2 linked regions of the Oryzias latipes genome follow. The protein of the gene in region 1 purifies or fractionates together with the protein of each later gene. This does not show direct contact. Links are inferred from orthologs where the notes say so. Each region holds a gene or a part of one and is shown on either strand. Other genes may lie near its edges. The genes, in order: ddb2 and cops6.

Evidence for each region.
Region 2: the proteins of ddb2 (region 1) and cops6 purify together in Homo sapiens (affinity purification with mass spectrometry; 8 studies listed by BioGRID and IntAct, counting the BioPlex papers as one, with this or other methods). This does not show direct contact. The link is inferred for Oryzias latipes from reciprocal best matches to the Homo sapiens genes DDB2 and COPS6.

The regions. Positions count from the first base shown.
Region 1 is NC_019864.2:16,130,598-16,135,168, reverse strand, and holds the start of ddb2 (DNA damage-binding protein 2), read left to right. Parts: upstream 1-1,625; 5' UTR 1,626-1,845; intron 1,846-1,936; 5' UTR 1,937-1,938; coding exon 1,939-2,074; intron 2,075-2,147; coding exon 2,148-2,260; intron 2,261-2,680; coding exon 2,681-2,872; intron 2,873-4,352; coding exon 4,353-4,519; intron 4,520-4,571. Other genes in the region: kinesin-like protein KIF23, read right to left, coding at 51-179, 257-317, 555-568.
Region 2 is NC_019868.2:6,644,672-6,649,095, reverse strand, and holds the start of cops6 (COP9 signalosome complex subunit 6), read left to right. Parts: upstream 1-1,317; 5' UTR 1,318-1,356; coding exon 1,357-1,399; intron 1,400-2,776; coding exon 2,777-2,902; intron 2,903-3,307; coding exon 3,308-3,439; intron 3,440-3,918; coding exon 3,919-4,007; intron 4,008-4,144; coding exon 4,145-4,207; intron 4,208-4,286; coding exon 4,287-4,334; intron 4,335-4,412; coding exon 4,413-4,424. Other genes in the region: fbxl12 (F-box/LRR-repeat protein 12), read right to left, coding at 1-310, 706-781, 950-1,050. UniProt on the Homo sapiens protein: Component of the COP9 signalosome complex (CSN), a complex involved in various cellular and developmental processes.

The sequences.
Region 1 (4,571 bases):
ATATGTTAATCCTTGTAATCTAGGGCTTCTTGAATCAGAAATGTGTTTACCTCTTTGTATTCTCCATTGCGGTTTACTTTAAAGCCTTCTGGAGCATGAAGTTGGATGGTGGTGCTGCTGATGACCTCAATGCAGCATTCTTCATCTCCTCCTCCTAGAGGCCGCACGCGACAGTAGACCTTAAAAAACAAAACAAAGCACACCATGTGGCTTAAATTTTATTGGAAGAGATTTCGCTTGATTTACTGACACTTACTCCAACCGGGTCTTTCTGGTTGTTCAGAGGCTTTTTTGGCCTGCGGGGTGTCCTGAACTTCCTGTGGAGAAAACATGACATCACTATAAGCGTTAGCTTTAAAGGGGGCCCAAATAATCAACTAAGCCAAACGTTAGTCTTATGGTTAAGCAACGACGTTATGCTAAGCTAAATCAAATCCGTTATTTAGTTCGTTAACTGTCAGTTAGGCGTGGAATCAAGAAGTAACAACAAATTGCACGATATATAAATACGTTTGTAACAAATTGTCTAAGTTAAATTAATAAAATTCACTTACCCCTGTCTGTTCATTGTAGCCTACTTTCGATTCCAGTTGTTGCTCAAATTTTGAATCTTCCCGACTCAGCCTCTCGCCAGAGAACTTTTCAAATCCCACAACCGCCAATAGGATCTCAGAACAAGGAACACGAGTGTGTTGCGTCACTTCCGAGTTGACCAAATTCCAAAAATATTTTTGCAAACACGCAGCAGTCGATGTAGTCAATTACTTTTTTAAAAAATAAAAGTAAATTTATAAAAGTAAGAAAACTAATCAAATATTAGAAGGAGCGAACGTTTACCATGAAAAAAGACTGTAATTCTAGTATGCTTATGTTGCATTTTGGGTAGGTTTGTGAATTAATTTACTGATATGTACATAAAGAATGTTATTTTTGCCTGTTGCTGAAACACGACATAATACATTTTCATATGGCAGTTGTTCTCCTGTTTATGGACATGCTGCATTATGATGTTTTGCACTTTGTGTAATTTTTTTAAAGATTAGCTTTGTTGGTTGCTTGTCTTAAAGTTTTTAAATTATTCAAATTTGACTACTTTTTTAGGCATGTTGAGCTAATATGACATAACTCGGAGCCTTTCAGAAAAAAATGTTTTCAAATAAACAGGGGAATGCACCATTGCATGCTATATATGAAATCAAACGTTTGTTTAGTTCCACCTGATGCAAGTGTAGTTTATCCATCTATCTATCTATCTATCTATCTATCTATCTATCTATCTATCTATCTATCTATCTATCTATCTATCTATCTATCTATCTATCTATCTATCTATCTATCTATCTATCTATCTATCTATCTATCTATCTATCTATCTATCTATCTATCTATCTATCTATCTTAATAATACTAATAACAATTATTATTACTATTATTATTGTTGTTGTTGCATTTAATAATGGGTGATTTTTAATTTGGAAAATGCTAAAACTATATACCATTCAGAAATTCAGAATTGATAATTAACTAAAATAGGTTTAACTTAAAATCTTACATCAAATTGTCCAGTTAAAAATGCACACACACAAAAACATTTTAATTGTACTGTTGACTGATGATGTGCAAGTTTCACAGTGTGTAGCGTTTTCTTTAGTCTGTTGTATTGTATCAAGTTTTTAAATAAAGTTTCTTGAAAAAAGGGAGAATTTGTAAATAAACAGCGCCATCTATCGCGCACCAGCTGTCATGGGCTGAAGTTACAAAACATCTGCTGCCATTAGTCACGTGCGCTTCCGTGTTATGCAAACATAGACTTTAGATTAAGGCGGTTCTCTTCCACAATTACAGGTAAACTGCACATTTACGGGGTTTTCTAGAGGAAAGATAGAGAAGTACACAGAAGTGGTTTTGTTCGTGTCATATCGTCGAACTCTGACAGACATGAAAAGAAGGAAGAACACGAAACCAGGTGAAAATGGACCAAAGAGTCAAGTGAAAAAAAGAACTGAAGCAGACTCTGGAGCATCACTCTCCAAAAAATTAAAGGAAAAGATAGAAGTGAAGACCTCTGAGCCAGGTGAGCAGTACTAACGGGACTGCATGAGTTTACTCTGAGGTCATCATCCTGATTTGAATGAATTTCACTGCAGAGCGTCCACCTGTCAAGCCCCATACAGCTCAGAGGAGAAATGGCCATAACAGCATCCTGCACTACATTTACAGGAACAGTCTAGGCCAAAGTCTGCATTCTCAGATGAGACAGGTAAGTCAGTATGGACAGAAAGAGGGGGCTGTCTGCTTTAAAAATAACAATAATAAAAATGCACCAACAACAGATTTAGTCTGTCAAGTGTAATCTGGAACCCAAATGCAAATCAATGCATTGAAGTGAACAGAGACGGCAGACCAGTTGATGAACAAGGCGCCCTCTTCTCTAGGCTTCTGTCTGAAGACTTGATTGGAGAAGAAGAATTTTACTAAACAGAAAAAAATCCCTAATGCATTTTATGGATTTTACCCAATAGTAACAATCAGTTTGGTCACAAATGATAAAAAAAAAAATAGTTATAGACTTTTGTATTTATTCTTTTTAATTGGTGGTTTAAAAACAGATTCTGAATATTCTATCTGAAATGATGGAATGTTGTTGGGTTTTTTTTCTTTTTGCTGTTGCCTCTTGCAGTGTCTTCAGGAGCCCTTTGTCCGCTCTCTCTCCGCCTATCATTTCCATGGTGCTACCAGCCCCTTCGATCGCAGAATCACCTGTCTGGAGTGGCACCCCACCCATCCCACCACACTAGCAGCAGCCTCCAAAGGTGGAGACATCTTTCTCTGGGACTTTGAAAAGCCCACAAAGAAAAGCTTCATCCAAGGGGTGAGCTCCTGAAAAAGCACAGTTTTAACCAAAGAAGTTGCATAAGATTTTTTTTTCTTTCAGGATTTCAGCTTTTTGTGTGTTCGTGCTTGCAAAACGTCACACAACTCTGCACAACCATATGTTTTAGATAGACTTGACAATGCATTTTTCATTCTTCTCATTAGATTGATAGGCTTAACCACTTACAGTTTTTCTCAGTCGCTTTAGTACAATTCTCAGATCAGAATTAAAGTTTGCAAATATGTGTGTGCATTTCTCAAAACAATTTGTACAAACAGCAAAACACTATGGATTTCTTGCAAAAGCCTGTAACTTGCTCAAAATCTTTAGTTCATCTCTGAAAACTAAGTCTTTATGTCATTGAACATGTCAGTGCCATCAGAATGTCAAGTCCTTGTGTCATTGTCTACGAACAAGACAGTCAAATGACTTAGTCATGTTGTCAATATAACTGTGTACTTTAGAGGGAGGTTCTGATGTAAACTATGGCTAAAGTTTTGATGACAATTATTGTAAAACGTAAGTTACACCTTTTTTGTTTGATTGCAAGAGACTGGACAAGATTCACATTTACACTTTTATTATTCATATTGTAATTTGTTGACAGACCATGTCATACCAACATAGAAAAAACCCACTGCAAACAGTAACACAAAGGGAAAAAAAAGATAGGACAATATTCTGTACAACAGTACAGGCAGTGCAGTAGGAATTGGTGTGGTTTTCCGACACGTCTTGTCGTTCCTGTATGTTAGGCCACAAATTCTCATCCACATCACAGCGAATATCTTCGCTTGCAATGCAGCGAAATATGTTTGTCACATTATGACAACTTGGTCAACCATTTTGCAGTTAATGACTTATACGATGAACTAATGACTAGGTGTTTTGAGGAGTAAGACTATTGCACAGTGAACTATATAATACATTTTGATCAACATGACATAAACAATTGATAATGTAGCAAAGAGCAGAGAATTGTACATAATCATTTGCATGAATGTACCAAAGCAATTGCAACTTGTTCATAGAAGTGAGAAACTGCTTATATGATGTGCACAAGTGACATCATGATGTGAAGATTGAACAAATAGTTTTGGGAATTTCATTCTGATCTGAGAATTGTACTAAAGCGACTGAGAAAAACTGTAACATCCCACTCAGCTGGACAGCTCAGCTATAGGGGATACGCAGTGCTTCCACAGTCAAGTGCGACAATTCCAAGAAGTTGCTCTAGCACATATGAGTCCTCTTTGTCTAAACATGGCTGCCCAACTCTAGTACCCAAGAACTGCCATTCTATACTTGTTTTCCAGCTGTGCCTCCACTCTCTGATTGATGGACTTCAGCGCAGAGTAGTTGGATAGTTGGGAAAACGAGTTGTTGCTTCTCAGAATCGAAGTTGCTCAAGCCCTCGGTTTCAAGTCTCAGTTCAGCAGTTGTCTTATGTCGTTGCATTTCCTGCTTTTGTGCCCAGAATGGAGCCGGAGACTTCATTGGAGGGATGAAGTTCTGCCCTACAGACTCCTCCAGAGTGTATGTGGCAACCGGTGAGGGGAAACTGACCCTGCAGAGCTTTGAAGGCCACCCACCTACCCTGCTGTCCAAAACGCAAGACTGTGACCACAATCATCACAATCTTTGGTCAGAAAACTAGAAAGGAAAGCAAATGCTTGGCAGTGACGAACACTCGTTT
Region 2 (4,424 bases), on another chromosome or scaffold:
CTCTGTCCTGAGGAAAAGCAGGTGAGGAACTCTTGGCCTGACAAAAAAAGCCCTGAGGGAGCTCACAACCACGGAGCTCCAGCACACGTAGAGAAGGAGGCAAGAGGTGGCAGTTGGGTAAGGTTCTCAAGTCTGCATGTAGAAGGCATAGCTTACTCAAGCGAGGGCATTTAGTGGACAAAGCTTTGAGCCAGGACTCTGAGAGAAAGGTTCCACCCCGGGCAGAAAGCAGCAAGCCACGCAGGCGAAGGCACCTCAGTCCACAACCAAAGTACTGACGCAGCAAGACCCAAAGGATGCGAGATGTCACCTGATGTAAGAAAAAAGAAGAGACCATGTGACAATAACGAGGAGAAAACTGATTAAATAAATAATGAGATATAAGCTCAAACACATGCACATCAGAAACCTAAAAGGAGGCCTATTTTTTTTTTGGGACTTACTTTCCTAACAAAGGACAATTAACAACATTTTAAATAACGTGTCCAATTATAGTAGAAATAATAATACAAGAAAAAAAGTGCACCTTTGTCACTGTTTTTAGTGAAGGTTTAAAAAAATTGGACATAAACTAACAAAAGAAAGCCTTAGCACGGTTGTTTCAAACATCACATATTTTTTATCCATGTTTATTACTGTGTCCATTCGATTACAGAAGAATTAATATTAATACTTAATATTCAGGAACTGAAACCACAGTCCTACCCCTTTCCAAGCAGTCAGATCTACTGTTCTCCACAGTCTTTGGTCTTTAACCAGCCGTTTCCATCTCTTACAAACCCTGGAGAAAATGTGGAAACCATTAGAAACTCGCCAGACAGAAGTCTCAACAACAACAACAAAGGGAGATCATCCAGCTGGCTCTGTCTGTCTGTGCATGCTGCTGCATTGTATAGAAAGAACAGGGAACCAAAAATCCAACACATTCAGCAGGGCCACATTTTCATACCTTCCAGCTCGAACAAGCTCTCTGACGCTCAAAAACGACAACACGTCTATCAAGATGTTTTCGGGGAAGTAATCCAAATCGCAGCCTTTGAATTCATCCATTCTGTAAACAAAACCTTCCACACGGACTAATTTCCGGATGCACACGGGTTGCGCTCTAATCAGTAATCCCCAGGAAACAGCTTCTGGTTAGCAACAGTTCAGTTCATTTAACAGTTCAAAGCAACGGGCCTGGGTTTCTCTGAACATACTCAGTCTACGTCTAAGTAGTTATTTAAATTTTAAAAATGTTTATGACATCAGCTCTGCCGCGCGCCTTATTGATAAATGTTCAGAAAATATGTGATGTTGCCACCTATCGTTCGCTAGGTCAACAGTCCACTGCGCACGCGCAGTCTACCGGACAAGATGGCGACCAGCAATGGTGGAGGAATGGAGGTAGACGGGGCAGGCAAGTGTTTGTCTTAAATCAGACCGTTGGAGCCCGACGTTAACATGTACGCGCGCACCAAGGGCCCCGCGTGTTTTGTGTCTCTGCTGGTTTGTGAGCCGGAAAGATTTGGCGGCGCTAAAGCTTCTGGCTACAAAAGCTTTGCTAACATGATAAGCAGGTTAACGGTCAGTCAGTGATGAATCATTCTGGATTTACTGTCGCTTTCTCTGATCTAACTCAGTAATGCGCAGCTGAGTTTATAAATACAGTCACTTAACAATGTACCCATCCTTAAAATGCTATATAATCTAAATCCAGATTAACCGAGCGCTGTTTAAAGAAGGAAAACAACTTGATAGTTTCCCAAATGCTACTGTATTCATTCATCTAGAGTAGGGGGCTGAGACCTTTAACGGGAAACGAGCCACTTGGTCCAGATTCTTACAGATCAAAACCCAACGAGAGCCACAAAGTCTGGCCTAAACATTTAGAAAAATACACTTTTTGTTTGTTTACTTCAGTGGCTTTTTATTCATTATTGTAACAGGTAGCTTTCTTTTACATGTCGACAATAATAGAATCACAAAGGTGTTATATTTTACTAAAAAAGAGCAAGTTTAACTTCTTTACTTCAGACAGCAGCACATACACGTTCCTTTCAAAATAAAATGCACCCTAAGTCAAAAGATCCTCCTGCTTCAACAGATTTAATTTTAGGTGAGCATTCATCCTTTTACTATCAACATAAAGATGTGTGCATTGGTTTAAAATCCAAATAAAAATAAAAATCTATACATGTAAATGCAATTATATATTTTAAGAACTTTGACTCAAAGCAACAACTTGACAGTAGACTATAAGAATATTTGCTTAGTTAAACTAATTAAGTATTTGTTCAATTTTTTTGAATGTCTTTATAGCCGCATGTGGCTCTGGAGCCTCAGGTTGCAGACCCCTGCAACCTCAGATACATCAGACCGAAGCCATTTTATTCAGTCTGTGACATCTACAGGATGAAAAAGTGCTCAACCTGCTTAAGATGAGCATCTTTGTGTAAAATAAAACATGAGCAGCTGCTGATGTGTTGGACATTGTCATACATCCGATGAATTTTTTCCTTTATCAATTGATTAACTACAAAAATGACAGATAAAACTAAAAGGTAAACAGCTTAGGTTTAAAGATCAATCTTCAGGCCTGTATGAATATGTTTAGGCAGGTGTTATCCTCTCTTGAATTGTTTTAGGATTATTTTTTATTTGTAAATGTCTCATCAACACGACAGCCAATTATTTGATATGTCATACTATATCTTATTGTGAAAAATCTACGTTGTGTTCCTTGTGTCTTGTATTTCCTGTTTTGTTGAAGTTGTTGCTGTTTGTGTGTCTGCAGCCACCCCCAGTGTCATGGCCTCGGGGGTCACTGGGAGTGTTTCTGTGGCCTTACACCCTCTGGTCATCCTCAACATATCTGACCACTGGATCCGCATCCGCTCTCAGGAGGGCCGACCCATGCAGGGTATCTGTGATGAAGCTAAACTGTAGCTCCACGCGTTGACCAATCACGTTTACTGATGTCTTCTGGCTCCAACATGGTCATGTCTGTTTCACAAAAAAAAAAGGCAAATGAATTGATTTCATGTGCTTGGAGCCAGAAATAAGCCATTTTCTATGGGTGATGTCACACTAACGCACTCCAATTCTCACATACAATCAGTGGTTTTGATTGATTTGTACTTTTTTTTTCAAACAGAGACATCTTTTAGTGTTAACTAGGAACTCAGAACATGACTAAAATTCATCATCTTATCCAGTAATGTCACTATGAATGCAGTATTCTTACTTGAAGCAGCGGAGCTCTTGAACGTGTGTTTTTCAGGCATGTTTGTGTTGTTTTGGTTGATCGTGGGTTTTCCTTGTTTAGTGATCGGCGCTCTGATCGGGAAACAAGAGGGTCGAAACATAGAAGTGATGAACTCCTTTGAACTAATGTCTCACACCATAGACGACAAAGTGCACATCGATAAGGAGTACTACTACACCAAGGAGGAGCAGTGTAAGCTGGGTTTCTCAATCCGTGTTCTTTATTGAAACTCTGGACCAGCAGTCCTAAAATGTGGACTGAATGAGGCTAAAACAGTCCTGCTGGATTTAAAAGAATAAATAGTCAAAGATTCAGTTGTGAGTTTTGAAATAAACTGAATTAAATTGAAGGTTATGTCATTCCAAACGGTTAATCTCAAAATAAAACTTCATTTTTATGTTTTTTAATATTTGATTTTAATTTTTTCTAAAGCAAATTATTTACTTTTTGGGGTCAAAAATTGGCTTAATTCTTTTGTAAACAGCTAGAACCTTCTTTGTCTCTTAGATGTGAGTGAGTCCTAATTCTGAACTACAAAACAAATGTCCGATTGTTCTTTTTCTCCACATAAAGTACATAAAGTAATCTAATCACCATTTACATTTGTAAAAGTCTGTTTTTTGTTTTCTTTTGATTTTTGGCAAATAAATTGTTGAATTCTGCTGTTTCAGTTAAACAGGTCTTCAAAGACATGGAGTTCCTGGGCTGGTACACCACAGGGGGGCCCCCTGACCAGTCTGACATCCACATCCACAAACAGGTACAGAAACGCCGGCGCTTCATGCTCGACTGCAGCAAAATGTTCAGACTTAGTGATGCTGAGCTGGAAATGATCCACTTTTGGGTCGAACCTTCTCTCACCAATGCTTCTTTAAACGTTTGTCTGTTCTGTGACAGGTGTGTGAGATCATTGAGAGCCCGCTCTTTCTCAAGCTCAACCCGATGACCAAACACACCGACGTGAGTTGTTCTTCAGTCATGGAGGGGCGTGTGTGCGTGTGAAGAGCTTTTCTAACCTGCTTGTCCCGCTCCTCCACAGCTTCCTGTTAGCGTTTATGAATCTGTGATTGACATCATCAGTGGCGAGGTATTGTCTCCGCCTCTTCGCAGCTCTGACTATGTTTTTTTGTGGCTCCTCATTGAAACGTCGTCTTTCTTCGCTAAGGCCACCATGTTA